4 linked regions of the Pelodiscus sinensis genome follow. Each later gene encodes a partner of the first gene's protein in a complex. Links are inferred from orthologs where the notes say so. Each region holds a gene or a part of one and is shown in the gene's direction. Other genes may lie near its edges. The genes, in order: ARID1B, SMARCE1, SMARCC1 and SMARCA4.

Evidence for each region.
Region 2: ARID1B (region 1) and SMARCE1 share a complex: the UniProt entries of both Homo sapiens proteins name them as parts of the neuron-specific chromatin remodeling complex. The link is inferred for Pelodiscus sinensis from reciprocal best matches to the Homo sapiens genes ARID1B and SMARCE1.
Region 3: ARID1B (region 1) and SMARCC1 share a complex: the UniProt entries of both Homo sapiens proteins name them as parts of the neuron-specific chromatin remodeling complex. The link is inferred for Pelodiscus sinensis from reciprocal best matches to the Homo sapiens genes ARID1B and SMARCC1.
Region 4: ARID1B (region 1) and SMARCA4 share a complex: the UniProt entries of both Homo sapiens proteins name them as parts of the neuron-specific chromatin remodeling complex. The link is inferred for Pelodiscus sinensis from reciprocal best matches to the Homo sapiens genes ARID1B and SMARCA4.

The regions. Positions count from the first base shown.
Region 1 is NC_134713.1:111,317,252-111,324,663, forward strand, and holds the start of ARID1B (AT-rich interactive domain-containing protein 1B), read left to right. Parts: upstream 1-4,339; 5' UTR 4,340-4,894; coding exon 4,895-6,601; intron 6,602-7,412. UniProt on the Homo sapiens protein: Involved in transcriptional activation and repression of select genes by chromatin remodeling (alteration of DNA-nucleosome topology).
Region 2 is NC_134739.1:10,452,565-10,459,945, forward strand, and holds the start of SMARCE1 (SWI/SNF-related matrix-associated actin-dependent regulator of chromatin subfamily E member 1), read left to right. Parts: upstream 1-4,363; 5' UTR 4,364-4,569; intron 4,570-6,342; 5' UTR 6,343-6,483; intron 6,484-7,046; 5' UTR 7,047-7,090; coding exon 7,091-7,097; intron 7,098-7,381. UniProt on the Homo sapiens protein: Involved in transcriptional activation and repression of select genes by chromatin remodeling (alteration of DNA-nucleosome topology).
Region 3 is NC_134712.1:256,776,425-256,784,530, reverse strand, and holds the start of SMARCC1 (SWI/SNF complex subunit SMARCC1), read left to right. Parts: upstream 1-4,976; 5' UTR 4,977-4,992; coding exon 4,993-5,232; intron 5,233-8,106. UniProt on the Homo sapiens protein: Involved in transcriptional activation and repression of select genes by chromatin remodeling (alteration of DNA-nucleosome topology).
Region 4 is NW_027465894.1:294,483-301,741, forward strand, and holds the start of SMARCA4 (SWI/SNF-related matrix-associated actin-dependent regulator of chromatin subfamily A member 4), read left to right. Parts: upstream 1-4,139; 5' UTR 4,140-4,310; intron 4,311-7,259. UniProt on the Homo sapiens protein: ATPase involved in transcriptional activation and repression of select genes by chromatin remodeling (alteration of DNA-nucleosome topology).

The DNA.
Region 1 (7,412 bases):
ACTTTTGAAAGAACACCGCAGCAGTCTAAATGCAGGGAAAGTTGGTTTTTTTTAAAGTCCACTTTTTTGAAAAAACCGTGTAGTCAAGACACACCCTTACATAGCAACAAGGGGAGAAAGGAAATGTTAAGTAAAGGAAAAATGGAAAACAATAAATGACAAGAGGATTTTGAGGGCTGTAGTACCTGCAACTACATTTTTCACTTAAAACAAAAAACAACACTGATAAAGATAATGTGACCATGAATTACCATTCTTTTGAAGACAGGATGTATGGCTTTTTCTTACACTCCCAAGAAATACAATGTTGTTTCCAAACAATGGCACAGGAAACAAAATTCTTAGGGTGTTCTATCAAAGTTCATAGATTTCAGAATGAGAGAACTCGGCAGCCCTCCATTAGTGCGAAGTGTAAAGCTGTTTTGTTTTTTTTTTAAATTGCTCATGCTGTTTCACTGAAGTACAGAGCTTCAAAAACTATTCATTAAAAAAGCCTCAGTTCAGCAAACCACTTTAACCAAGCTCTTAACTTGAAATAAGTGAATAATCTTAGTGATTTCAATGGGATTATTCACGTGTAGAATTAAGCACATGTTTAAATATTTTACTGTTTTGGACCTAAATCTTGCAGGAAAACAATTGTTCATATAATTCCCTAATGAAATAATGAATGATTTTATTGAAAAGAAGATAGTAATGTTCTGGAGGCCTTTTGGTTACGCACAGCCAGAATAAATTGATTAAACTCCCCATTATAAGTGGTATCTGAAAAACGGATTTTAATCAAATGGCAAAATGTGTCACTCTCACACATTAGGCTTTTGGTAAACACTGTGTACTTCAAAATATATTAAGATCAGATAGGATGAAATATTGTACTTTACCTAAGCAGATTATTGCATATTGTCCGTTACTCGATTGTAATAGTTCATACATCCTATTAATTAATAATATATAAAATCAATATAGGTAATAAAAATTAGTGATGTCTCATTGCATTTGTTCTGTGACTTACAATGCAGACTTCACCTTGAGATTCACATAAAGCTAAACCAAAGCACAGTACTCTGTACTTATGTGTGTACGTGTATTTTAACTCTTTTTGTTTTTTGTTTTGTTTAGGATCTGATCGCTGTCCTAGTGAAACCAATACATTTATTTCAATATAATTTGGATAGGGCCTTTAACCAGTGAAAGAAGTGTTAATTTAATAATTCTGAAAATTTAAATCTTGGTTTTTTATGGTCCCCCCCCCCTTTAAATCACTGCAAATCTATAATAACTAGAATAGGGAAAATATGGTGAATTTGTGATCTGCGTTACCTAGATGTGTAGGGGAATTAACTAGAAGACCAAACTGTTAAATCCAAACAGAGACTTCAAGCAAAATAATGTTGCAGAGTACAGTGGTTAACTGGGTAGGACACAACAAAGTGGCAAGGTGGTAAAACTCTGGTTGGGCCATTAATTTTTAACCCTTACTATAAAAATATAGAACCCCAAAACAAAATGGTTATTTTCTCTACCTTCTCTAACAATAAGACCATAGCATTGTCAAAATATTGGCTTATACTCTATATAACATTCAGAAGCCACTGTTCTGACCAAACAAAAAGATAGCTGCTTTAGTGCTGTGAAATGTGTAGGGCTTTCATATTGGACCAGCTATACAGAGATGTCTTGGGAATCTATATAGATGTCATAGTGCAATAAACAGTAAATTTAGAAAAATATATTGTTAATCCTGGAAATGGATCCCAAATAAAGGAGTTTTAAATTTATCAGAAAAATCAACATCCAGCATACTACAAAGCATATGAAAGAGAAATTGTGTTTAATTAATATACATTTATAAAAAATGCAGTTGAAATATAACATTCAAATCATGTATTTGTAGCATTAAGCATTAGATTTCATAATTTTGTAACAGACACCACGCATGACAATTACAGCTTTTCACATTATATGCCTATATATATTTTTAATTTGTACAACAGAGAAAGCTTTTGGAAAGGATCATATGAATTGAACATACACTACCACTCATCAACTGAGCAAAGATGGTACAAGATATTTCAACATTATTTGTGATCTAAAAAACAAAACTGAACCATAGTTGCTTTGTGTTGTGCTTCACTTGCACAGACTGCAGTGCCTTCTGTCTGCTTTCGGGTGTGGCATCTGCCATTGGGGAGGAAAAACTGGCATGTGTTGCCTTTTATAGCAGACTGATTTCATTGTGTTGAGGGCCTCTATTTTACAGTCTTAATTCCAATCTTGTAGCTGAGTTGTTAAAACAAATGTAATGAAAAAGACCGAGAAGAATAAACTTTTCATTTTTTGAGGTTCATTATTTTCCCCAGGAAAAATATTTAAAAAGTAAATCAGCATTAAACTTCGTGGCTTTTTTTTTTTTATTCAGAACTAGTGAAATGAGTCAAAGTATTGAAATCCTCAAAAGAGCTACCTTCAATACATCTTATCAGATTTGTAAATATATATATATATATATATATATACTTATATTTTTGCTTTAATATAAGTGCCCAAAAGCATAAATGTGTAATTGATTTTATATTTTATTGTAGAATATACATATAAATAAATATGCACAAGAAGACATCTATATTTATATTTGCATATGAAAGCCTTAAAAATCAACCTATGTGGTTTAATGTGTATAATTAGTATGTGTTTGAATATAAAAAAGAAGAAAATCCAGGAGAAAATGTCAAAAAAGCTCACTAACAAAGATGTAGTATTCTCTTGGCAAAAGCTGATGAATGATTTGGCATGAATTCATCTTACAGTTCTGTTACTCTCTCTTCTACAAAGATGATATACCCCTTTTCTAGCAGTTTGCATAGAACTGCAATTTGTTGTTGTTACAGACTGTAATGACCCTTGGGAACGCACCTGATTCCCCCCACTAGAATTATTCACTGATTTTTTTTCTACTCTATCAGTTTCTATTAACTATTTAGCATTTTTGTACTTACAGAGAGTGCAAAAACATAAACAAAAAAAAAAGAGAAAGAATTAAAATAGAACTAATATCAACATGTAGTTGAATGTTGAGACTTTTACAAAGTAGAACCATGCTGGAAAATTCAATGGACATTGAACTCACATTGTTCATACATTTATCAACATGCTGTCATGAAGAGTCTGTTCTTTAATGTTTTCACAGTGGAAATAAAAAAATCCCACTTCCTACTCATTACATCATCATTTATGACAAGTTATGTTTTATGTTCTGTCAGTATTAAAAAGTCTATTTAGTGAGCTGAAAATGCTATTTAACAGATTTTAATAAAATATTTATTTCATATAACATTTTAGATTCTTATTAAATTGTCTAAATACCATCAATATCCTGTCTTACTTGTGTCCATGGAAGAATATTTAATTTTCCAACTACTTTTATTAGCTGAATGTGGTGTTTGACTGTTACGTTTTCCTGATCAAGTTCTTACTTATATTAAGACAATTATTTTAAAAAATTAACTAGCAATAGCTGGAGAAATCTGCTATATAAATCTAAGTCATTAGGAGTAATGGTTGCTTTGATTATATATTGTATTTTATATTACTACATTTTCATGAGTGTCTTAGATATACTAGAAAATAATGTTGTTTCGGGACACAATTATAGGACTTTCCTTGGGAGCCTTGTAATCTGCATATAAATACGAGAACATGTTCCAAAAAGCTCCATACGTAATGCTTATATTAAAAACATCATTAGCACAAATGATCATTAGAACTTTGAAACAGCTGGACACTACAGATAATTTAAAAAATGCCATTACTACTGAATTTTGTGTTAATTTGAACATTTTACAAGTATTTTTATTTTTCCATAAAACAATTTGTAGGCAATACATTTTAGTGTCTTGAAATCAGAAAACCTTAGACTGCCTACTGGCTTGAAAAACAGAGAAAAGATTTTGAAAGTTTGACCAATTTTTTTTTTAATCCAATAAAATATATTGCCAACAATGTGTTGGATTTTCTCTTTGTCTACTAAGCTGTTATGATGAGCACCTTCAGCTCTCACCCCAAAAATACATGGGCAGAAAGCCAAATTAATCCATGATGTAACAACTTTTACTTCAGTTGAATTACACCAGGCCTGAATTTGACCCACCCAGTGATGCTTAGTTGTCCTTTTTGGGTAAGATCATTTGTAGCAATCAGTTTAATATTCCATTCTCTGTGGAAGACTATAACCTAGATTTGCAAGGGAGTTGAGTGATAGATTTTTTCCATCTCTAACTACTACGATGCTTGACGGGCACAAAATACAAAAAGGGAGCGTACATCCTTTTGCATTAGCAGAAGCAGCTGTCTTGGTTCGGGGCTGTTGAAGGTTGTAATGCGCGTCTCTCTCTGACTGCCACCGCTAAACCTGCTGCAGGAGGAGGAGGGGAAAGTCCAGTCCGCGTTTTCCAAGTGTACAGGAGTAATCAGAGAGAAGTGGATAATAGTTGTTAGAGCTCGCTCTCTCTCTCATGCCATGCTGGGCCAGATAGGCTCAGTCAGACGTGTATTTACCCATATCCGGGTTAGAGAGGAAAAGAAAAAAAAGTTTCATTTAAACCTGAACAAAAAACTTTCAACATGAAATCACACAGCAGGAACAGGCACAGACCGTAAGACATTCTTACTGTTTCTAATCTCAATCACGGACTTTGGGGAGGGGAATTTTTATATATATTTTTTGTGTGTGGAGTGATCAGGAGGGGTTACTGTTTATTCAAATAAGTTGGTCCCCCCCCCTTTCTCTTTTTGCCCTTCTCCCCTCCTTTGCCCACCCTCCCACCCCGTTTCGCTTTTATTTTATTTTTGAGGGTGGGTGTTGGATTTTTGCTTTCGGACTGGCAATGTTGCAATGATCATGGCCGCGCAAGTAGCAGCGGCTCCGGCGGGTGCGAAGAACAACAAGGGCAAAACCCCGAGTTTGCCGGGCAACTTGAGCCAGGATCTCAACTCGGGGGGAGCAGCCGCCGCGGCCACCGGGGGACCCGGAGCGGGCTCCATGCTGGGGGTCGGAGATGGGACTAACAGCAGCAGCAGCCTGAATAATGTAGATCACCATCTCCTCCACCACCATAATGAACTGAACATGGCCAATAATGCAACTTCTGCTGCTGCTGCCACCGGTAATAACAACAACAACAACGCCAGCACCAGCGGCAGCAGCAGTAGCTCCTCTTCGGAGTCGGCTCTGAAAGAAGGTGGAAGCTCCTCGGGGTTACCTTCATCTTCTTCTTCCTCCGCCTCTAACCCGGGCTCGGCCATGGAGACGGGGCTGCTCCCCAACCACAAACTGAAAAACGTTGGAGGCGATCACCCTGCCGCACCTCCCCACCACCACCATGCCCACCACCCGCATCACCATGCCCACCACCACCATGCCCACCACCCGCACCACCACCACCACCACCACCACCATGCACTACAGCAGCAGCTAAATCAATTCCAGCAGCCGCCGCCGCCTCAGCACCATCCGATGCAGAATAACAACAGCCTCGGCGGCGGCAGCAACAACAACAACGGCGGTGGCGGCGCTGCTCAGCCCAGTGCAGACATGGAGCAGCAGCAACATGGAGGAAAAGACGGTGTTTTGGGAAATCAGGCCGAGCCCCCTCCGCCGCCGCCGCCGCAGCAAATGCTGAATAAAGGGGGCGAGGAGGAAGAGCTGCCCGGCAAAATGGGCGAGCAGATCGGCGGCCGCTACGAGCACCCCAGCCTGGGACCTTTGGGCGGGCAGCAGCAGCCGCCTCAGAGCGCTGGGAGCGGCGGCGGCGGCACTAGCAGCCTCGGCGGCGGGAGCGGGAGCGGGGGAGGCGGCGGCCCCTCCGCCGTGGGTGTCTCGGAGTTTAATAGCTATTACGGCAACCCTGCCCCTGCCAGCAGCGCTACAGCGAGCCGAGCCGGGCCTTGCTTTGATCAACATGGCGGACAACAAAGCCCCGGGATGGGGCTGATGCACCCCACGGCGGCCCCCAACAGCATGGACCCCCTGCAAAACTCCCACGAGGGTTACCCCAACAGCCAGTACAACCACTACCCCGGCTACGGCCGGCCCGGCGCCGCCGCCGCAGCGGGAGGAGCGGCGGCAGCAGCAGCAGGAGGAGGCGGCTATGGGGGCTCGTCCTCTGGCTACGGGGTGCTGAGCTCCCCCCGGCAGCAGGGCAGCAGCATGATGATGGGCCCGGGCGGAGGGGCCAGCCTGGGCAAGGCTGCTGCGAGTTCTGGGGCTGGAGGCTTCCAGAGATTTGCCGGGCAGAACCAGCACCCGTCCGGAGCCACCCCTACCTTGAACCAGCTGCTCACTTCCCCCAGCCCCATGATGAGGAGCTATGGCAGCAGCTACCCTGATTACAGCAACCCCAGTGCCCCACCACAGCAGCAGCCGCAAGCCCAGGCAGCAGGGGCAGTCCCGGGAAGCCAGCAGGCAGCAGCGGGCATGGGCATGGGCAAAGACATGGGCTCCCAGTATGGAGCTGCAAGCCCAGCCTGGGCAGCAGCACAACAAAGAGCTCACCCAGCTATGAGCCCTGGAAGCACTGGTCAGACCATCAGCAGAACCCAGGTAAACCACCAGACACCCCCTCACCCCAAAACACTCCCCACTTGTATGTTTTGAATGTGTGTCTAGTGCTTTAGTTTCTCTCCAATTTACTTTTCCTCCTCTCGGCCATATAAACTACTTGCTGCCTCCATAACAGGGTTTGGTAAGACACAGTGTCCGATTGATTGGAGGCATCCGACAAATGGTTTCACTGTGCAGAATTGCACTATTCGCTTACAAAATTGAACTGTATAAAGTTTTCCTCCAGTTTGAAACAGATTTGAAGATAGAAGGCCCCGAGGAAAAGCAGTTTGGGTGAGGAGGGAGGAGTTGCTTTTGTAACTACACTGTCAGATTCTGGAAAATAACATTGACTGCCCTCTATTAGAATTTTTTTTTTTTTTTAGACCAAGCAGATAACTTTGATACCCTTTTAACAAATTAGTTGTATTGCTGATGAAGACAGTATGGTGAAATCCAGCAAAAATACAGCCAGGTTGCCTTGGCTCTTGGAAGGGTGAGTGCCATAGTCAAGAAGGTTTATTTGGTAGGCGTTGAGGTGGTGTATTCTTCTTTTATATTTGCCTCAAGCATCCAACCGGGATGAGATGAAAATAAGTGTTATTTGTAAAGTGAATATAATACATAAGTATTATTATTCCCTTTTTGAAATAATCCATACTTTGATGAAGAGACTGGAAGAATCCTTTATTTAAATAAACAGAACCAGATATTGAGAGCTCTGCTTGTTTTGACTAATATACACATCCCCGATAAATTAAATCCAATAAATTACAAATCAATATCAGATCATTGTTGGATTATGTTTATA
Region 2 (7,381 bases), on another chromosome or scaffold:
TTATTTTCTTCTCCCTGTACTATCAGAACAGTCAATACATCAATATGAATTATGTGTGTATATATTGACCAAACTGTCTTGGAATTTGGTCACTGTATAGTGATACTCAAAAAGCTCAATACTGAGGGACTACATGATTTGGGATTGAGCTACTGCCATCTGACAAAAGTAGAATGACCTTTGAGAACTTAAGTTTTATTGTCCCATAGGTCATTCTGCATCCTACCATTTCCTAGTAGAAGATGCAGAAATCTCAGCAGTTAAACCAAAGATTAAGGGCTACATATTGCCACCTTTATTTATAAAATCAAAGGACTACTTATATAGCAAGATGCTAGTCAACCACCACACAAAGCCCTGGTCTACATTAGAGAGTTATTTTAAAATAACCCCCCTTATTTTGAAATAAACAAAGGATCCACACTACCAAGTTCAAAATAACAGGCTGGTCATTACAAAATCTATATTCCTGCTTTCCCTGGGGAATAACACATATTTCAAAATAGTTATTTTGAAAGAGCATCCACACTAACAGTACACTGCTACTATTTCAAAATAACTACTTCCCAGACTAATTCAAAGTAATTATTCCCCAGTCCTTTCTGGGGCTCTAAGTCAAGGAAGCATGTCCACAATAATGGAGCCTGCCTCAGACTAATGTCGAGGCTCCCCCCATAGTGGGGACATGCTCTTTTGATTTTATTTTGGGTGTTATTTCTAATTTAGTTATTTCAAAATGATTTCCTAGTGTAGACATGCCCTAAGGGTGGCAGAGTCTGACCTTAAACAAATATGGAAAAGAAATTTAATTATCTTCTCATGATCTGTCTCTCCAGATCATGATACAGGCACTTTGTTGGCACAATACGGTGAAGTTTGTATTGTTGTTGCCTGTATTTTATATATTTCCTTATGAATAAATAGAGTACTGTCATGCACCTCTTCATACATATAATGAAAGAGCAGAAATCAACACAACTTTGCTAATCAGTGGAACACATACAATAGGTTTGGCATGTCAGCATGAAAAATGAAATATAAGAACACACACCACACCCGTACATTAAATATCTGAGTTAGATGCATAAATCCTGTTTTAGATTTTATCTTTCCTTTTAATTTTCTATGCATACAAAATAATTATTTTTCTTGGCAGATCTATAATACATGAAGTACAGAAAACTTTCATACTGTAATTAACATGATACTTTGTGTGTGCCAATAGGACTTCAAAATATCCACCACTAACATACAATGCTATAAGCAGGATTAGGAGGGAAAACTTTTGAGACTGCTTGACAGTTACTGCCTTGTCAATAAGTACAACATAGATCATGAATCCCTGAAACTTCCTCTTGTGTGAAACCTTCCACCTTAGCTTTCACAAATTATTTGAGAACCGTATAAAAAAAATATAACTAAAATTTGCACATTTGAAAAGAGAAGTAGTCAATAGCTGGTAGAAGAACTGAATTCCTGCCAAATTACTTCAAACGAGACTCCATATTGTAAACACTTTCCAGGATTGGACCTACGGACTCTTACAGAGCAGTCATATCACCCATTCAGACTAAGGAAAAAAAATCTTAAAGTCTGTGGGAGTTTTACTGAATTAAGGGTTGAATGTTATGTTGTACTTTAAGTATCAAAGTGTTTACATTTAAGCCATCAATGGATAAATATGCTACTGTTTCACTGCTGAAAACATGTCATGATATTTTTCAATTAACATGTCTGAGGAGACAAGGTAGGTGCAGTAATGTCTTTCATTGGAAAAACTTGTTTGGGGAAGAGTGTGTAGCTCGACCGCTTTTCTCTCTCATTGAAGCTGGTGCATAAAAAGATATTACCTCACCCATATTGTCTCACTAATATCCTGGGATAAATTCACAACAAGAACTCTGCATATACCTACAAATGCAGGATCTTGGGGAAGAAGGTGTCCTTTCATCACTTTGAATGTAGCTATTTTCTGGTAAAATAATGCAGAAGGTACATTCCCTCTTCTAGCAACTGCAGAGTAAATCTATTTCCAGAAAGAAAAATACAAGACCTAAATTACAATAAAGGGCATGTGGGAAGAAAGTGGTATCGATTCACCCACAACCCAGTGACTGTTCACTCCAGTGGAGCTATTCTCATTGTTAAGTGCTCAATCATATAAAGATTGCACAGTTGTGACCAGCATATACAAAAACCAATGAGAAATATTTCAAAAACATAGACTCATATGACTGTATCTAAGAGCATTTTAGCATTTTCATATTATCAAAATCACGTTATACTAGATTGGAGAGAAAAGAGTGGTGTAATGGTGTGAGACCAAGAAGGAAAGCAAGAATTAATGGACCCTACTTTCACCTCTACTACCTGCACTCTTCTCCAGAAACTCCTTAACTAACAGCAGGTAAAAACTTGAGTGAAATGGTATTTTGCCAATATAAAAACAATATTCTCACCTTTTTCACATAAATTTTCTGATGATGTATAATGGTGGTTTAAAAAGAAGTTCATAAAAATATGTATTTTGGTTCCCTTTGTTTTTTGTAGCCAAATGCAAGTTATGGATTTATCCCTTGTACTTGAGCAAGGGATAAATTGTGAGCCAATGTGGACCTTGACCTTCTATTTATTTGAAAAAGTGACAGATCTTCAGTGACCAACATCTGATTAGACAAACTCTGAATGTCCCAGAGAAAACACTGGCCCTTATTTCTAAAGACAAGTATTTAAGAGAACCATGTCCAGCAATGCCTCACCCTGGGCGGAGGGCAATCCATAGGATTTATGGGACTCTACGCTGTATGATTAAATTGATGTCCCTAAGCCTGATGGGGCAGCTGGGTGGATGGGGAAGACAATTTTTTAGAATTGTGCTTTTATAACCTTCAGCAAAATGCTAACAACATATTTTTAAAACAATTTTAAACTAGTCCTGTAAGTTTCTGAATGGACAACATATACCTGGAGTTTACAAATGTCTGTTAAATGACTTCATTACCAGTTGAATGGCTCTTTCGCAGGTTCAGGGTTCTGCTAATAGCTCTGGCAGGCTTTTTTCACCAGATCCTCTCCAGAGGAAGCCACAAACCAAGGAAAGGAAGAAGCAGATGTATGGACAGTCACATTAAGACCCAGTGGTTCCTCAAATTTTCAAGTGTCCTATGCAGGGTATGGATATGGGTATGGATAACTCTTCCTCAATATCTCTATTTAAATAGCTGAGTGCAGCCTTTAGTGGGGCATGCATAGGGTTATAAAATAACCATCTGATGCAGCTTCTCATATTATTGCAAAAGCGACGAGGAGTCCTGTGGCACCTAACACGGCTACCCCTCTGATACTTCATATTATTGCAATAAACATACATGTGGTGCAGGGACACCTCAGATAACTATGTGGGTAGAGACGCTTCCTCCTATATCAGTAACTATGCCAAGGCACATTATGTTGCAATTACAGTTGCCAGATGGTTTTGGAAAAAATACCAAATATCCCCCCTCCCCCAAAATATCCCAGGCCAGGAAAAAGTTTGTTGGGGGGGGGGGGGGGGGGGGAAGTGGTCCCTTTAAAAAAAATGCATGCTGAGGCTTTTTGGCACTAACAGGCTGCAGGTGGGCGTCCACCATCTTGCCTCCCTGCACTGGGCCAGACTGAGCACTGGGGCTGCCGGGCTGCCTCCATATTGAGCCAGACAGTCTGGGATTTTCACCTCCTAGCTAGGAAAATAGGGGCCATTTTAAGTGACGGGTATTTTCTGAATTTTTTTTACCACACAGGAGATGAAAATACAGACAGTCCGTTTCAATACCAGACCCCTGGCAACCCTACGCATGGCCGTCCCTGGGGCCGGGACACCTGGTTTTTAAAGGGGCAGCTGTAGCCTAGGCACCCGTGTGTTATAACCAGGAGGCTGCAACCGAGGCCTGCATAGCAGAGAGGTGCGACCTGCATCAGCTGGTTCCTTAGAAGCCAAGGCGGAGAGCTGACAGGAGGCGCAGCGCGAGTCGGCGGCCGGCCACCGCCTCTCCTCAAGCGACGGCTTGACAGGCTGGGGGGCGCGAGACTAACGGTCGCGAGAGGGGGAAAAGGCGCCAAAACAGTGGCGCGTGTCCTCCGAGGCGCGAGAACGAACCTAAAGGCCGCGAGAACACAACGCTCCAAACCCCACCCCCACCCCGGGAGCTGCGGCGCGTCACGGGGTCGCGAGTCCCTTGCGCGCCTCCTAGCGCGCCATGCGGGTCACCTGACGTGGCGCCGCTCGTCACGTCAAGCGGTCTAGCCAAGCTGTTGTGCCTCTTGGCTTTCTCGTTCGGCTCCGCAGATTCGCCACAGAGCAACCCTCCTTTCCCTGCCCTGACGGGAGACGATAAAAATTCCCTGGGTGTTGCGGGAGGGAGCCTGGCCAGGAATAAGCCAGGGGAGGGAGTGAAAAAGCGGGGGAGCTGGGGACTCCGTGTGGAATGTGCTGAGGCGGAAGGGCGGGCGGCTTCCCCCGAGTCGCTGCTGCCCACTCAGGAGCGCGCTGTTGGCTGAGAACAAAGGGGGCCCAGGCCGGTGCTGGAGCGGGTGAGTGTCTGAGGCGATGGGCGCTGCGTGAGTGGGCCCGGCACCGGCCCCGCGAAAAAGAGACCGTGGGAGAGTGGGGGGAGGGCAGTGGGAGAGCGATGCCCCCCCCGCGTCCACGCCCATGGGCGGAGGAGTAGCCAGCCCCCGCCCCCCACGCACCTCGCAGGGAGAGGGAGAGACACACGATGCCCCCCCCCCGCCTCCCCTACATGCGCTTCGCGGGGGGGAGGGGGGAGAGAGTGGTGCCCACGGACACCCCATGGGCAGGGGGTAGCCAGCTCACTCCGTGCAGGGAGAGCAGAGAGACAGCGGTGCCCAAGGGAGGGGGATAGCCAGCCCCCTTCTGGTGCTTTGAAGTGGGGAGGGCAGTAGCTCGTCCCCTCCATGCATCCTTGCAGGGAGAGGAGAGAGACAGTCATGCCCAGAGCAGGGGGAGTAGCCAGCCCCCTCCTTGCACCTTGCAGGGGAGGAGGGCCATAGCTAGCCCAATGGTTTTCACAGCTGGATCAGGGACTGGCCTAGGTAAACTGCTGTGGGGCCCACAATGCTTTGTTTATCTAAGGGTGTGTCTAGACTATAGGGTTCTGTCGACGAAAGTAGACTTTTGTCCACAAAATTATACCTGCGTCTACACTGCCGCTGAGTTCTGTCAACATAGCGCCGACAGGACTCAGCAGTTTTCTCAACAGCTGTAAACTTCATTCTACGAGGAATAACACCTTTTGTCGACAGAGTTCTGTCAACAGAAGGCATTATTGCATCTACATTGTCCTGTGTGTCTACACTGTCATGTTGACAAAGCGGCTGGCTTTGTCGACAGAACTGGATGTAGTCTAGACACTCTTTGTCGACAGAAGCTTTGTCGACAGTATCTGTTGACAAAAGCCTGTAGTCTGGACGTACCCTAAGTGTCCATAACTACAGAGCCTCACAGCTCCTCTTGGCTGAAAATGGCAAACTGCAGCCAGTGGGAGCTGCTTACACATAAATAAACAAAGCATGGGGGGAGAGGAGCCTGCCTCTGGGTTATGACCCAATTTTGAAAATCACTGAGCTAACCACCCCCCATGCACCTTGCAGGAGAAGAGAGGTAGCTAGTCCCCCTCTTCATGCACCTCACAAGGAGAAGGGAATGGTTCCCTTTCCCCCTCCTTCCACCTTGAAGGGAGAATAGGCTGTCAGCAATAACGAAGGAAGCAATTATTTCTTGCCCCGTTCCCAAAAATGGTAGCGAAGAAGGCAGGTACTATCCTCCCTTAAGCAAGTACACCTGCTGTAGTGACTGGTACCATGTCTGCATTTGTCATGCCGGAGATCAATCTTTTGGTATTCAATTTAGTGGGTCTAGTTAAGACCTTCAAAATGAAACTCAGGGCGGCTCTGGTTGGTGCCAGTACTCCTAGCAGTCGTGACAAGTAAAGGAAGTAGACTGGACTCCCTCTGTGAACACTGTACCAAGGTCCACTTAGGGTAAGCCAACTCCAGCAACGTATTTTACGTACCTGGAGTTGCATACCTTAACTCAACCTTCCAGGTATAATGTTTTCAAAGGTACCCTTACTGATTGGAGTAAAACTCTCAAGGTGTAAAACCCTGTGTTCAGAAGTGACATGGCTGTGTTTTTATCACCTACGTGCTTAGTATGTGCCTCATCTTAAAAAAAAAGTTGTAAAATTAGTATGTTACATATTATGTTTGTATATTTTGTATATTCCTTCCCATTCACCCCAAAATTGGATGAATAATGAGATCTTTCTGTTGTTCTCAAGCCAGGCCTCCATTTAAAATTGACCTACTGAAGCATTCTTTTCATTTAACCTTGTTGGAATCTCAACTGAGAGCATAACTTCTTTCGTAAGAGTTATCCAGTGTCGCCTACATTCCAGACCATCCATAGACCTTGGGCATGGAAATGTACGTGCCTAAGTACTTTATTATGTGTGGAAATAATCACGGGTTCAGCATTGAAACCTGTGCCTATAGTAGTGTTAATATTTGATGCCATAGACATTATTTATGTCAGATGATGAGCATTTACAGGATTGGGACCAATTTTGCTCTCTCAAATCCAATAAACTGTGGAAAAACATTGGAAATGCTTATCTTGTGTCTACATGAAGTAGTAGTACAGATTATAGGGCTATGATTTCTAAAGCATACAAATGTTAGCTGGTGTGTGCTACAAGTTCCCTTGTGTGCTTTAACATGGTGTTGTTTTAAACAGTACTGTGCTACATTAAAGCACATTAGCGAACTTTATACAGATTATTTATATTACAGGCTATACAATGAGCCCCTCAAAAACCTCATTGGACATATACATATAGCAAAATTGCTAAAAAATAAACCCCATAAAATGAAATTAATAAATTCTGAAAAACAGAAGCTCTAATTATGTTCTTTGTTTTAACAGTTCATGAAAACAGAAAGTGTTGTATTTAACAGTCTGACACTGTGTTCTCTTTTTTGTTTTTCAGAATTTGAGATATAATGTCAGCTGGCTGAAAATTTATCTGCCAAAATGTCAAGTAAGTTTGTATTTTTTTTAAATGTAAGACGTCTGTTCGGTGGCACTTACTTTCATGAATAACATTGCTGTTACATGGGAAAGGGCTACTACACCACGAAAATTATAAGAGGAATATTATCAGGTACAGTAATTATAAGTGAACTACCAATCAGTTAGTACTAAATATTACAGCAGTTCATAGCCAACATTGTGCACTGAGGATTTCTTTTAAGTGTCCAAAAGGTGAAAGGAACATGCAAGCATCCTACCTGCCAAGCTGCATAATTGTACTTTAGCCACTTT
Region 3 (8,106 bases), on another chromosome or scaffold:
CTCATGCATGTCACTTACTATTCCCATCATTGTGCTTAGGCAACCACAGTAGAGGAAATAACATATGCTAGTGACTACAGTTTCTTCCCCCTATGCTACTATTCAAAGACCAGAGTATAGTATAGAATCATAGAATACTAGGACTGAAAGGGAGCTCGAGCGGTCATCGAGTCCAGTCCCCTGCCCTCATGGCAGGACCCAGTATTGTCTACCATCCCTGACAGACATTTATCTAACCTACTCTTAAATATCTCCAGAGAAGGAGATTCCACAACCTCCCTAGGCAATTTATTCCAGTGTTTAACCACCCTGACAGTTAAGAACTTTTTCCTAATGTCCAACCTAACAGTAGAACCCAAGAATTATAAACAGCTTAGGAACGGAGGTTGTTCGTAACTCTGAAATGTTCGTAACTGAACAAAACCTGATGGTTTTTCTTTCAAAAGTTTACAACTGAGCATTGACTTAATACAGCTTTGAAACTTCAATATGCAGAAGAAAAATGCTTTTATCTTAATTTAAATGAAACACGCAGTTTCCTTACATTGCCAAATCTTTCCTTTTAAACTTTCCCTCTTTATTTTTTAATAGTTCACATTTCACACGGTACTGTACTGTATTTGGATTTTTTTGGTCTGTACTGCTGCCTGTTTGTATACTTCCAATTCCAAATGATGCATGAGATTAACTAGTCAGCTCGTAACTCTTGTGTCCATAACTCTAAAGTTTATTGTAGTTTAGGTAAGGACTAAAAGACAAGCTATTACATAAGAACATACATAAGAACATAAGAACGGCCGTACTGGGTCAGACCGAAGGTCCATCTAGCTCAGTAGCCTGTCTGCCGACAGTGGCCCAGAGGGAGTGGACCGAAGACACTAATCAAGTGATTTGTCTCCTGCCATCCTTCTCCAGCCTCTGACAAACAGAGGCCAGGGACACCATTTCTATCCCCTGGGTAATAGCCTTTTATGAACCTAACCTCCATGAAATTATCTAGCTTCTCTTAAAACTCTGTTATAGTCCTAGCCTTCACAGCCTCCTCTGGCAAGGAGTTCCACAGGTTGACTACACACTGTGTGAAGAACTTTCTTTTATTAGTTTTAAACTTGCTAACTATTAATTTCATTTGGTGTCCTCTAGTTCTTCTATTATGGGAACTAATAAATAACTTTTCTTTATTTACCCTCTCCACACCACTCATGATTTTATATACCTCCATCATATCCCCCTTAGTCTCCTCTTTTCTAAACTGAAAAGTCCCAGTCGCTTTAACCTCTCTTCATATGGGAAGCTATTGGAATCAAAAGCTTCAGTGGTACAGGCAGTCCCCGACTTACGCGGATCCGACTTATGTCGGATCCGCAGTTACGAACGGGGCTGCCCCAGAGTACACAGACTGCGGGACCTCGCGGTCCTGCCGCCCGTGTACTCTGGGGCTTTGCTCTGCGTCTCCCTGGTCTGCAGACCAGGAAGACGCAGAGCAAAGCCGCGGAGGGGCTCGGGCAGCGGGGCAGCCCCGCTGCCCGAGGCCCCCCCCCCCCACCCGCGCGGCTTTGCAAAGCGCGGGGAAGCCGGCGGAGGGGCAGTCCAGGCACGCCTGGGGTGCCTCGCTGCCGGAGCCCCCCCCCCCCCCCCCCGCGGCTTTGCAAAGCCGCGGGGAAGCCGGCGGCGGGGCAGTCCAGGCGCGCCTGGGTTGCCTCGCTGCCCGAGCCCCCCCGCGGCTTTGCAAAGCCGCGGGGGGGGGGGCTCGGGCAGCGAGGCACCCCAGGCGCGCCTGGACTGCCCCGCCGCCAGCTTCCCCGCGCTTTGCAAAGCCGCGGGGGGGGGGGGGGCGCCTCGGGCAGCGGGGCATCCCAGGCGCGCCTGGGCTGCTCCGCTGCCGGCGTCCTCAGAGGCGCTCCCCGTCTCCCTGGTCTGCTGGTCTCCAGCAGACCAGGGAGACGGGGAGCAAAGCCGCGGAGGACCCAGGCGGCGGGACGCGCAGCATCTCGGTCCGCCGCCCGAGTCTTCCTGGTCTGCTGGGGTGGGGGGGGCGCAGCTAGTACGCCCCCCCCCCCCCCCCCAGCAGACTAGGCTTTTCTCCGGACGCCTGTGGCAGAGCAGCTGGGGTGCTGCCGGTTGGTCCCGCAGCGCCGCTCTGGGTGCTACTGGTGCAACCCAGCAGCACCCCAGCTGCTCTGGTCCTGATTCAGCCGCTGCTGGTCAGTTTCAGCAGCGGCTGAATCAGGACACCTGGGGCAGAGCAGATGGGGTGCTGCTGGGTTGCTCCAGTAGTGCCGAGGAGCGGCGCTACTGGAGCAACCCAGCAGCACCCCAGCTGCTCTGCCCCAGGCGTCCCCAAGTCAGCTTCTGCTGAAACTGACCAGCGCTGACTACAGGAAGCCTGAGGCAGAGTTGCTCTGCCCCAGGCTTCCTGGAATCAGCTGCTGATCAGTTTCAGCAGCAGCTAACTTGGGGACGCTTGGGGTTCTTAAATTGATTCTGTATGTAAGTCAGAACTGGCGGTCAGTTTCAGCAGCGGCTGAATCTGGACACCAGTTCCGACTTACATACAGATTCAACTTAAGAACAAACCTACAGTCCCTATCTTGTACGTAACCCGGGGACTGCCTGTATTTGAAAAAGACAACTGGGGGCCAACTTGCCTTCTGCCTCTCAGGGAAATGAAGTACAGAAGTCAAGGGGAGTGCTCTTTTATTGACTTAGTTTGTTTTCACCAAATCTGCTGAACTGACATCAAATCTGGCATCAATCACAGCAGTGCCAATTTAGCAGCAACTATAGACAAGCTAAATGTAGAATGAATGATGAGAATGAACGAGTGAAAAGTTAAGACCCTAGTATTCGGCATAATGGATGGTCTGAATAGGAGAAGCAGACCCCACAGACAATGAGTAGATGATATAGTAGATTGCGGTGGAGCTAGTCTACAGAAACTAAGCCACTTTGCACTGGACAGGGAAAGATGGAAGGAAATAGTGAAGGAGGCATCGCACATCAACAGGCACTGAGCCCATGGTTGATGATGATGATAGACAAGCCACAAGTTACTACAAAGAGTTCTTTCCCAGATAGCTGCCTGGTGGATCTTGCCCACATTCTCAGAGGCAAACTGATCACTGTATTTGGGGTCAGGAAGGAATATTTCCCTGGGTCAGATTGGAGCAAGTTTGGTGGTTTTTGCCTTCCTCTACACTGTAGTCTACAGCATACAGCATGGGTCACTTGCAGGTTTAAACTAGCATAACTGATGGATTCTCTGTAACTTGAAATCTTTAAACTATACTTTAAGGACGTCAGTAGCTCAGCCAGCAAGCACACCAGTGGGTGGTTAAGAATCCATGGCCTGCAGGAGGATCAGAGTAGAATGATCACAATAATCCCATCTGACCTCAGAGCAACAATTCCCAAATGTTTTTTGGTCATGCTCCCTTCCTTGGTCCATTATTCCCTTTGAGCTGTGGCCAGGAGGGTGGTGGGTGCTGCAGTTGGAGCCACAGCTAAGGACTGGCTGGGAACAGAGTGGGAGTGGAGCAGAGGGCCAGGCTGGGTGGTGCTCCCTGAGCACTGTCCCACCTGCAAAGTTCCTCTGGGCCCCCTTAAAGGGTCATGCCATGGAGTTTGGGGACCACTGCCTTACACTCAATGAAACTGGACACCAGCAGTGGAGGAGAGTCAGTCCAGAGAGGAACCATGGGGGGGGGGGAGGGGAGGGAGAGCAGGACTCTGACCTGAGCAGAGATGATTCAGCCTGGTTGGGTGTGACCTAGTGGGGGCGCTGTCTACTTTTGTCATCCTCTGTTTCTGCTGGGCTGCATTGGTTAGGTGTGATTCCCAGGGCTCACTCCAGATGTGTATTGGGCCCAGACACCTGGGGAGCCAGACTCGGAAGATAACAACTCTTAAGGACATCGGTGGGGGCTGACACCAGGCTGGGAACTAGGCCTGGGAGTTGGGTCAGCCTCAGCTGGGCTAGGATGAGTGTGGGGGCTTACAGCAGGGAAGGGGGGTGCAGGGCCCAGGACCCCCCCCTCCCCCCGAGGAAAAAGGCTGTTTGCCCTCCATGCCGGTGGTAACATCGAGCCTGTGCTACGTTCCTGACAATCAATAAACCCTTGTACTGTACCAGCTGGCTGGGAGTCACATCTGGCCGTGGGTGGGGGTGCAGGGTCAGGACCCCCCCCCGTGGTGGGGGAGAGCAGGGCCCCGCCCTGAGCAGAGAGGGTTGGGCAGGGAGGCTGGGATTAGGGGAGCGGTCAGGACAGGGAGCGTGAGGGACAGACGAGTCTGGGCCAGGCCTAGAACCCAGCAGCCCCCCCCCCCCCCCCCCCCCCCCCCCCGCTTCCTGGCCAGGATAACAACCTTGCGGCGCTCTCAGCACAGGAGCGAGCGGCCTGCGGTCGGAGCCGACGCCGTGGCTGGCGCGCGCGGGCGGCCTCTGAGGAGAGCGGAACGCAGCGCCAGGCGGGCGTCGCGCGCCCTCGCGAGGCGGGAAAAGCGACGCGGGAGCCACTGCGGGCACGAGCGCAGGCGCAGCGACGGCTGGAAGAGACGCTGGGCGGCGAAGCGACAACGAGGCTGGCAGCCCCCCCCCCGGCCATGGAAATTCAAGCCACACTCTCCCCACCAGCGTCCACGCGCCGCATGCGCAAAGCGCGGCACGAGCGGCTTGGCCCACTAAGCGCATGCGTACAGACTTAGTGCGGTGCGGCCCGTGCCGGGCGGTTGAGATTTGACGCATGCGTGCACAGCAGGGTTGGGGGGAGGGGCGTGCGGTCTGCCTGGACCTCACGAGCGAAGAGAAAAGTGGGAGTCTGGCGCATGCGCAGAGCTAGCGGGCTCGTGTGGCGCGTGCGTTGAGCGCGGCCCAGGGTGCCGACGCAGGAGCGGTGGCGCCCGGGGAGAACCGGCGCGTGCACAGCGGTGGCGGGGGCAGGGAGCGGGGTTCCCGAGCATGCTCCAAGGGGCGGAGCGTGCGGGGCTCGGCGCATGCGCGGCGGGAGGCGAGTGGGAGGCGCAGGGCCGCGGTGGCGGCGCTCGGCGAGGGTAACAATGGCAGCGGCAGTGACGGCAGGCGGCGGGCCCGGCCCCGGCGCGGCGGCGGGGCTGGCGGCGCTGTCCGTGGCGCGGCGGAAGGACGGCGGCCCCACGGGCAAGTTCTGGGAGAGCCCGGAGACGGTGTCCCAGCTGGACGCGGTGCGGGTCTGGCTGGGGAAGCACTACAAGAAGGTGCGGCCCGGCCGCGGGGACTGGGGCGCTGGGGGGCGGGGCGGCCCGTGGGGCGCTGAGGGGGGCGGGGAAGCGCCAGAGGAATGGGGGGGTAGAGGAAGGGGCGGCCCGGCCCGCGGGGACTGGGGCGCTGGGGGGCGGGGCAGGGGGCGCTGAGGGGGGCGGGGAAGCGCCAGAGGAATGGGGTTAGGGGGTGAGGAAGGGGCGGCCCGGCCCGCGGGGACTGGGGCGCTGAGGGGGCGGGGAAGCGCCAGAGGAATGGGGGGGGGTGGAGGAAGGGGCGGCCCGGCCCGCGGGGACTGGGGCGCTGGGGGGCGGGGCGCTGAGGGCGGCCCGTGGGGCGCTGAGGGGGGCGGGGAAGCGCCAGAAGAATGGGGGGGGGTGGAGGAAGGGGCGGCCCGGCCCGCGGGGACTGGGGCGCTGAGGGGCGCGGGGCGGGGCGGCCCGTGGGGAAGCGCCAGAGGAATGGGGGGGGGGGTGAGGAAGGGGCGGCCCGGCCCGCGGGGACTGGGGCGCTGAGGGGCGGGGCGGCCCGTGGGGAAGCGCCAGAGGAATGGGGTTAGGGGGTGAGGAAGGGGCGGCCCGGCCCGCGAGGCGCTGAGGGGGGCAACCCGAGGGAAGCGCTCCAGGAAGGGGCGGCGGGGCGCCCCAGCTAGGCCGGGAGCGGTCACAAAGGGCCAGGCGCTCCTTTGCGGGGGGGGGGGGGGGGCGGCTTACCGGCCAACGGGCGGGTCCCGGGTAACGGGGCCGTTTCCCAGGCTGCGCGGCTCCGACCCTTCCCCCCCCCCCCCCCCCCCCCCCCGGACTGGAAGTCTCCAAAATCAGTTCGAGCCGGTTGCGCGACTTCAGGGCGAGCCCCCCCGCCCCCCCCCCGCATCTGGGTCTTCGCCGCGGTGTGTGCGCGCAGCTGTGGGCACGTGCGCCGCGGGCTGGCCTGTCACCGGGCACTCGCGGGGCCCCAGCCCAACGAGGGGCGGTTGTGCCGAGCGTCGTCACACACTGGCGAGAAACGGGGGGGGGGGGGTTAAGTTGCCCCCTTTAAAAAAAAAAAAAACCTGCATTGCTGATGCGTTTGAGTTTAGGTGCTTGTGCGGCCTAAGTGACTGTAGTATCCGAATATCTTCATACACTCCTATGGGAGGAGGAGGTGAGGTGCTGTTAACCCATTTTACAGATGAGGATTGACTCAGAATCACTTGCCCAAGGCCTTGCAGAGAGTCTGTGATAGAGTAGGGAACTGAACCCAGGTTTCCTGGCTAATACTCTAACAGTCTGGATCATCCTTCTTTTCTATAATCTTATGGGGTTCAGGGCTCTGTTTCCTAAATCTAAAAGAACAAGAACTGAAAAGTTTGCTCAGTGATCACTTTTGTGAGGAATGTGGCTTCATTTGCATTCAGACTTCTGCTGGTTTGACTAATGGTGTTTAAGTCAGTGTATTTAAACCAGAGCAACCCCCCTGTGTAGCTTTATTTTATTTTGAGTGACTAATATTGATTTGGGTGAAGCAGATTCCTTATGGAATCTTTGAAACCAAAATAAAATTGTCTACACAGGATTTTGCTCTGGTTTAACAAAATTGTTTTTAAACTGATTTGTAATGCCAGTATAGCTTTTTGATTATATATCTTTGTGGCTAGTATTTTTGTAAAGTCAAACTCCTGCAATTTAAATAAAAACATTTGCAAATGCCTGCTAAAATGTAATTTAAACATGCTAATCAGATTCTTTTTAAATAAAGTTTTAAACGCTTAATTATGTCTCTTGGTTTTGTTATGCTTTTCCCTTTTCCTTTCTTACTCCAGGTCTTTGTCTATAATAGCATGTAAAGTTTTAACTTGTCCTTGCATTATCTTTTCCAGTGTCTCTTTTTTCACCCCATGTTTTTCCATTCATTTCATTCTCTATCTTATTTTCTTTTTACTTCTCTCTATATTAAAAGTTGCAGAGGGGTACCATGTAGTTAGTAACTTGAAACAACTTTTAAGAACAAGTAGACCTGTAGCACCTTTTGTTCATCTCTAAGGTGCCACAGGTCTACTTGGGCTTTTTTTTTTTAAGTTCTCTCCATATTGTATTTCTCTAGTTCTATCCCATCAGCTTCTCTCTCTTTCTGTGCCACATTTCATGCGGGCCATTGAAGTTTTACCAAATTCTTAGCACCAGAGGCCTTCTAGCCAAAGTCCCAGATGAGTGTTGAGGAATATTATCTAGGATGTAGCCCAAATAAGCAATCACATATTTCTCCATCCTTCACCCAAGCTGCTGGGAAAGGGAATTAAGTGTGAGGTTCCTCCAGGATTTCTGGGTCCTGGAAGAAAGGAGCATTCTCTCACTCAGTTCTCCAAGATTTCCAGATCAGAGTCCCTAGCTATTGTGAGAGAAGATTATTTATCCACCCACTTATAATAGCCTTAGTTTGAGTCCTCCATCCTCAGTTATCCAATTTGTGCCTGCCCCCTTGCTGTTCAGAACTTTACACAAGCAACTATCAAAGTTGATATTAACTCAGTTCTTTTTAATTTCACTGTTGTACATAAGATTCTAGATTGCAGCTATGGAAACTAGCAAGAATGTTTTTCACTCTGCTATAGTTTAAGACTCACATCAGGAGAGGCATTGGATCCATCATTGTGCAGGCTTAAGACAGTAATGCATTGATTATATGTGAAGGTAATTTTAACCATAATGGCCAGATACTTAATGATTTTCTTACATGAAAATTTAGATTCTGCAAAGTTGTTGGGAATCTTTTCCAGGCAAGTTCTTATTGTCCTTGGTTAGTGGCTCTATAAAAGAGGTAAGAGTCTGTTTAAAAACTGAAAGAAAAACTGTTTCCATTTTGATGAACAAGGAAACTTATAGTCACCTCTC
Region 4 (7,259 bases), on another chromosome or scaffold:
TCAGCTTCCAGGTGTCAGCTAGTATAGGTTACAGGAGCCCCTTGGGGCTGGGCAGAGAATCAGGGGCCACAACTAGCCCCCAACACCATATGTTAACTGTAACAGAGAAGATAGGCCTAGATTTTGTGGGAGAGGGAAACTGTCTCTATTTTGTCACCGGCACATGCAACTTACTCCACTGATCACATTTCCACTGAGAAATTTGTTGACATGAAGGATCTAACCCCTTTGGAGGTACCACTATTTCCTCTGACTCTTAGCTCTCGCATACTAACAGTGTCAGGATAGGGCAATAGTTGGATTTCTCCTCTAAATAAGTGCCACGTTGCGGCAAAGACTACATTTAGATGACTCCTACAGTTTAGAAGCCGGCCACCAACACTGGCCATGTTTACGTCTTCTGGCCCATTATGCAGATCTAAATTCCCCTGAGGTTTCAACTATATATATATATATATATAGGGTTTCTTATGTCCTGCCCTAAACTATTATGTGGAATTTTGGCATGTTGCTAAACAGAGGCTACATTCTGCCCCAGATGTAGTTGGAAGCATTCCTATGTACCTTGCAAAATGTGGGGCTGCTTAGTGTATATTTATAAAGTGCTTTGAGAGCCTTGGAAGAGAGGGTCTGCAGAAGGCCACCGGATTTTTTAGGCGAGGACACACCGTTTTTTGACTGTCACATTACTTAGTGTGCTGAGATAGCCCCTCTCACAGGATGCTGCAAATAACGAGTGGATGACTGGAAAGGGAAGAGACAAGGCATCACTATGGCATTTTTCATACTGAAAAAGAATGGGACAGATCAAGAGAATCCCAGATGTTAATGCTGGCAAAGATCTGTTAGATTATCTAATCCATCTGTTCTACTGTTCATTTCACTTGATAACTGCCCAGTTTTGTTCATTCCTTCTGAAGCATCTGGTACTGGCGCTGTTTGAAGACAGGATACTGGATTCGAAGGGCCATTGATCTGACCCAGTATGCCCATTCTTATCCAAGATCTCTCCTTAAAAGGTCTCTTTTCAAAGATTTGGTCCAATCCCAAACAATAGAGCTTCCATAATTCCTCAAGGGATCATTCCACAGCCCACCACATTTCCTTCCCAGGGAACGCTCCAAGAGTTTCGTCCTAAAGTTCTCATTGCTTCATTCATCCCATTCCTGCTAGATGGTCTCCCGCCGGGCCCCTTCCATCAACACCACTAAACTTGCTTCACTGAACATGATGGCTTATTGACACAGGCTGGCTACATCTAGACTGGCCCCTTCTCCGGAAGAGGCATGCAAAGCAGGCAAGTCAGAATAGGGAAATCCGCAGGGGATTTAAATATCCCTCGCGGGATTTAAATAAACATGGCCGCCGCTTTTTTTCCAGCTTGGGGAAAAGCCGGAAAAGAGCGTCTAGACTGGCGCGATCCTCCGGAATAAAGCCCTTTTCAGGAGGATCTCTTATTCCTACTTGCAAGTATTCTGACTTCCCTGCTTTGCATGCCTCTTCCGGAGAAGGGGCCAGTCTAGACGTAGCCGCTATGTCTACACTACAGAGATTTTGCAGAAAAACAGCTGTTTTTCCGCAAAAACTCACAGAGCGTGCACACTTCAAGTGCTTTTTTGTGCAAGTAAATCGAAAGATCAGAGGGGTTTTTGCACAACTGGTAATCCTCATTCTATGAGGAAGAATGCCTTATTGCACAAGAGCTGTAGCGCAAAAAGGTGTACGTGGACGGGAAAGAGGGCTTTTTTGCACAAGAAAAGGGAGGAGGAAAAAGCACAGGTGCCCTGGTGGCAATCCTGTCCATAGCAATCACTGCTTACTTGCAAGAGAGCATCCAGGCAGTCTGGACGCTCTCTTTCGCAAAAGTGCATTGCTTTTTTGATGCACTTTTGCAGTGTGGACACTGTCTTGCGCAAGAAGCCTACACTGTCTTCCGACAAAAACTTCTTGCACAAAAAGCCTGCAGTGTAGACATAGAAGAAAACCCCTTTTTCCTCCAGACTGCATGAGAGACCTGACAGTGATGGGCAGCCTGTGGGTCATATGCAGCCCATCAGGGCTCTATGTGTGGCCCCTAGGACATTGTGTTTGGTGTTGCTCATGTGCAAGGTTGCCAGATTCTGCCGGCATAGTTTTTTTCTCTATTGGGATGACCAAAGTCGCACATTTAAAGCAAGGGCGAGATAAGGTGCATGCTGATTGCACATAACATTGACAGTGAGCGCTATGAACATCCAATCATCCAATCCAAGCGCTGCTGCGGTTCATTCGGCACACCTCCTAAATTCTAGGTACGCAGTTAGCAAAAGTGCTGGGAGACCATCTTGGTTAAACAATCTTGCAGCCCACTTGTGTGGCCCACTCACTAGCCTACATTGCCAGTGCCTGCCCCAGGAGAACCGCCAGCTCCTGTCTCATCATGCCCTTCCTATCAGCATTCAGCCCCCATCCCACCGGCTTCCTCCATCATTCCTTGGCCACTGTCCCCTCTTCCTCATGAGCCCCCTTAGCTTTCCCTGCCCATCAGCCCCCCATTCTCCTCCCCCACCTCCTGAGCCCCCTTCCTCCTCCCCCAGACCCTCCCTTTCCTGTGCCCTCAGCTTTCCCTGCCCATCAGCCCCTTATTCTCCTTTCCCCCTGAACCCCCTTTCCCCTCCTATGGCCCCCCTCCTCAGCCCTTCCCCTTCTGAGCTCTCTCCCCTTAAGGGCTCCCTGAGCCCCCCTTCTTCCTGAGCCCCTCCCCTCAACCCCCTCCCCCTCCTGAACCCCCTTACTGAGCCCCTCCCCTCAACCCCCTCCCCCTCCTGAGCCCCTCCCCTCAACCCCCTCCCCCTCCAGAACCCCCTTCCTGAGCCCCTCCCCTCAACCCCCTCCCCCTCCTGAGCCCCCTTCCTGAGCCCCTCCCCTCAACCCCCTCCCCCTCCTGAACCCCCCTCCTGAGCCCCTCCCCTCAACCCCCTCCCCCTCCTGAGCCCCTCCCCTCAACCCCCTCCCCTCAACCCCCTCCCCCTCCTGAGCCCCCTTCCTGAGCCCCTCCCCTCAACCCCCTCCCCCTCCTGAGCCCCCTTCCTGAGCCCCTCCCCTCAACCCCCTCCCCCTCCTGAGCCCCCTTCCTGAGCCCCTCCCCTCAACCCCCTCCCCCTCCTGAGCCCCCTTCCTGAGCCCCTCCCCTCAACCCCCTCCCCCTCCTGAGCCCCCTTCCTGAGCCCCTCCCTCAACCCCCTCCCCCTCCTGAGCCCCCTTACTGAGCCCCTCCCCTCAACCCCGTCCCCCTCCTGAGCCCCTCCCCCTCCTGAGCCCCTCCCCCTCCTGAACCCCCCTCCTGAGCCCCTCCCCCTCCTGAACCCCCCTCCTGAGCCCCTCCCCTCAACCCCCTCCCCCTCCTGAGCCCCCTTACTGAGCCCCTCCCCTCAACCCCGTCCCCCTCCTGAGCCCCTCCCCCTCCTGAACCCCCCTCCTGAGCCCCTCCCCTCAACCCCCTCCCCCTCCTGAGCCCCCTTCCTGAGCCCCTCCCCTCCCCTCATTTTCCCCTGCCCATCCCCTCCGCCTTCGAAGTTCCCTCCCCTTCGCCGCAGTGGCGCCCGCAATGCGCATGCGTGGCCGCGGCGGCGGTTTCCAGCCGGTTGGGAGGAGGAGGCGGCTCGCATCGCCAGCGCGCGCCACAAGGACGCGCGGACGCAGCTCGCCCCCTCCCCCTTATCCCCGCCCACGACCGCTCGAACGCTTCCTTCTCCCTGCTTCATTGGCTGCGGCAGGCTGGAAGGCGTGAGCGCGAGCCGCTTTCCTTAGCTCCCATTGGCTGATCGCGACGACTCTCGGCCGCAGGCAGGGGAGGGACCAGCCAGAGGTACTTGCCCATTGGTTGCAGCGCCGCCAAGGTGGGCGGGGTTAGCTTGGCTCGTTCTCACACCATTGGTCGAGGCGCGTGTCAGCTGTGCTCCCAGTGGAGGAGGGCGCTTGGCGCGCCGCCCACCTTGCCCGAGGGAGGGGCGGAGCGCGAACGCCCCTGATTGGCTGTGGCACGCAGACGCGAACGCCAAGGCGAGGCAGGGTCGGGAGGGGGCGGGCGGTGGCGCGCGAGCCCCACCGGGGCCTTCCCATTGGCCCAGGCTGCCGCCCCGCGCGCGCGCTGGAGCCGGATCGGGAGCGCGCGCGCTGCTGCTGCTGCTGCCTCCCGCGGGGGCGCGCGCTAGGGGGAGCTCGAGCCGCGTCTCCCTCACGCTCGCACAGTAGCGGCGGCTCCTTTGTCCCGCCGCGACGCGACCCGGCGGGGATGGAGCCCGCGAGCGGCCCCGCGAGGGGCGGGCACGGTGAGCGCGGGGAGGGGGGGCCGGCGCCCCATTGAATGGAAGGGCGGGGGGGGCTGAGGGGCTACGGCGGCCCGGCAGGGTCAAGAGGCCTCCGCGACGTTCCCTGCGCGAGAGCTCGGCCGCCCCCCCGCGCGGGGACCCTTCCAGCGTCCTCCCTGCCCCCCCCGTGGGCTGTGCCCCCCCGAGCAGCGCCCCTCCCCCATCCCCGGGGCACAGCTCCCCCCTCGCCCCTCCCCCATCCCCGGGGCCCTGGCCCCATCGCGGCCCCCCTCCCCGGGGCACAGCTCCCCCTCACCCGCCCCCACCCCTGGATCACTGGCCCTCCTGGGTATCTCACCCCCCCAGTCTCTGGAGAACTGGCCCCATCATGCCCCCATCCCTGGGGCAGTGTTCTCCCTGAGCATCCCTCTTCCCCCACCTCCCAGGGATGGGGGGGCAATGTGGGAGGGGTGATGCTCAGATGATGCCCCTGGGATCGGGGGGTGATAGGGGATGGCAGTGCCCCCCCCCCCCGTGATCATCTCATTTCTGGTGTACTTGCCCCCATGAGCACCTCTCCTTTCATGAGCACGCCATCCCTGATGTACTGCACCCTGTTTGCGTTTCCATCCGTTCTGGGGCTCTGGCCCTCCATCAGCATCTGCCCCTCCTCAAACATGCTGCCCTTATCCTTTAGCATCAACCCTTCCAGTCACCCCAATTCATTAACAGCCCTCTCTTTTCTTCCCAGAATACTTCCCCACCAAGGGGTTGTGCCCCCCCCTTGCTAATCAGCCTCTTTCCTGCCCCCTTTCTCCCAGAATCTCTTTGCTTCCACCTTGCTATCATCCCACTCCACCCAAGAAAGCTGTCCTTACCTTACTCCTCAGCATCTCCCTCTTTAGGCTGGGGTGCTTCCTCCTTATTGTTCAACATAAGTATCTTCTATCCTGTTTAAACTAGTTCCCACATCAATATCCCCCTCTCCCATTTCCGTACCTCATTTTGTGGATCCTGCCCACACTACCATCATCTGCCCAGTCCCAAGGAATTGTGTTTTCCTATCTCTTTTCTCTAGCCCATGGAGTTGCTCTACTCTATTCTCAAGAGCTATGGTCCCTCCTCCTTCCACCTTCTCTTTCTTTGGAGAATTGGTGATTTGAGGGGGTTGGCCTTAGATCCCCCAGGCTTACAACATCCTGGCTGGATTCCCTACACATTCATATATTTATTATGGGAAAGGTTCAGATTTTCCACCTGCTCAGGACAGAGCCACAAGAAGAAGCCAATCACTTGTGCTTGCAGGATGGTCTATAAATTCTCTCTCCTAGGAGTACTTCATTGCTCAGGCTCTGACTTCCTGGAGAGATACCAAGGTTCTCATGTGCTGGGGGTGGGGGGAGGTTGAAAGGAGCAGGATTAGCTGCTGCATCAAATAGGCACATAACCACAGACAGCTCCACATGCAAAGTCCCGCTGTCAGATGTATTGGGGAAAGGAGGTGCAAAAAATTGCCTCAATTCCACTCAGCTCATTGATATGAATTTGTGGGTGATGATGTTTTAAAGAGGATTTGCTCTCAAAGCCTATTAATAAGCACCCCCTTGCTCAGAGCATCCCCCATGGTTTCCTGACACACAAAGCACATTTAAATATGAATGGGTCTCTATGTAACACAGCTTCTCATTAGAAATCATTTGGAAATAAAGGGAATATTTACTGATGCCCCAATATTCTAATGGAGGGTTTTAACTGTTCTCTTTCATCTCCTGTTTTGGGGCAAATTTGTGCTGCCTTTGATGGTCACAAATCAGTTAACAATGTAGTCTATTGTTTTAAGGCAGAGGCTCTTTGTTGTATTTTGTATAACTGTAATAGGTTTTTAACAACTTTCCTTAAACATTGTCTTGCACACTTGTTTTTGTGGTGTTTCTGATGATCATTCATATAAAAAGTATCTTTTAATATTAAACATTTACAAAATGCTACATATTTTGAAATGATGGAGGTTTTGCTGTATGTTAACTTGACCCAAATGTAAGCATAGTTGAAGTCTGAGACTTTTAACTATAGATTTAATAATACCTAGTTCTAAATAATATTAAATATTTTTTACAAATTTTCCCTTGTTCCCATCTTTGAGTGATACATTACCCTAAGTATCTCAATTTCTGTTCTTCATAATTGTTTTATTGCCCCTAATATCTTGGCATCATCTTTATTTTAAAGTGTAACCCAATTTGCTGTATGTCTCCTTCAGAGATAGAGGAGCGTGACAGATTTGAAATGTGCAGGGAGGGTTACTTCAGGTTTTTCACTTTTTTTGATTGGTAAACTGTATCTTCATGCGTTTTGCATTCATTTTTGCTTTCGTCCCTCTGTGTAATGACAGATAAATGGTATGTAGCATGTTCAGATCACGGTGACTGCTTTGCTAATCTTCTTTCCATTAAAATATGAAAGGAGATAGGCAAGTTAATGGAGAAAATCGGTTAATTTTCTGTGTTTAAAATAATTTATATTTTCCTTTTTCAAATATCAGAATCTAAAGAGAAGCAGAAGTGGAGATATAATTAAAGGATTTGTGCAGCTGTTTTTTAAAATTCATGAGTTGCATTAAGATCATCTAAAATGAGTGGCTTTTAAGTGTCTTGTAGCATATTTGATTACCTTTCTGCACAGGTTGGGTTTTCAGCATAGTGGAGCATGCTTATCACAGCAGAGTCAGTGAAAGAAGCAGGTCATCCCCAAGTGAGACTTCTGTGGCATATTTCCTTATTCTTTGCAGCTGGTATTTTCACATAGCTGTGGGGATTTGGGTGTCAGACTCCTCTGAAGATCTTGTCCTTTGTTTAATTCAAGGATGAACATCAAGGAAAGAGAATGTGTCTGTATTTTATTGTTCAGGGCTAAAAAGGTTTTCAAAGGTTTTAAACCTTCCCAAGACTTTTATTCCCCACCCCAGTAATG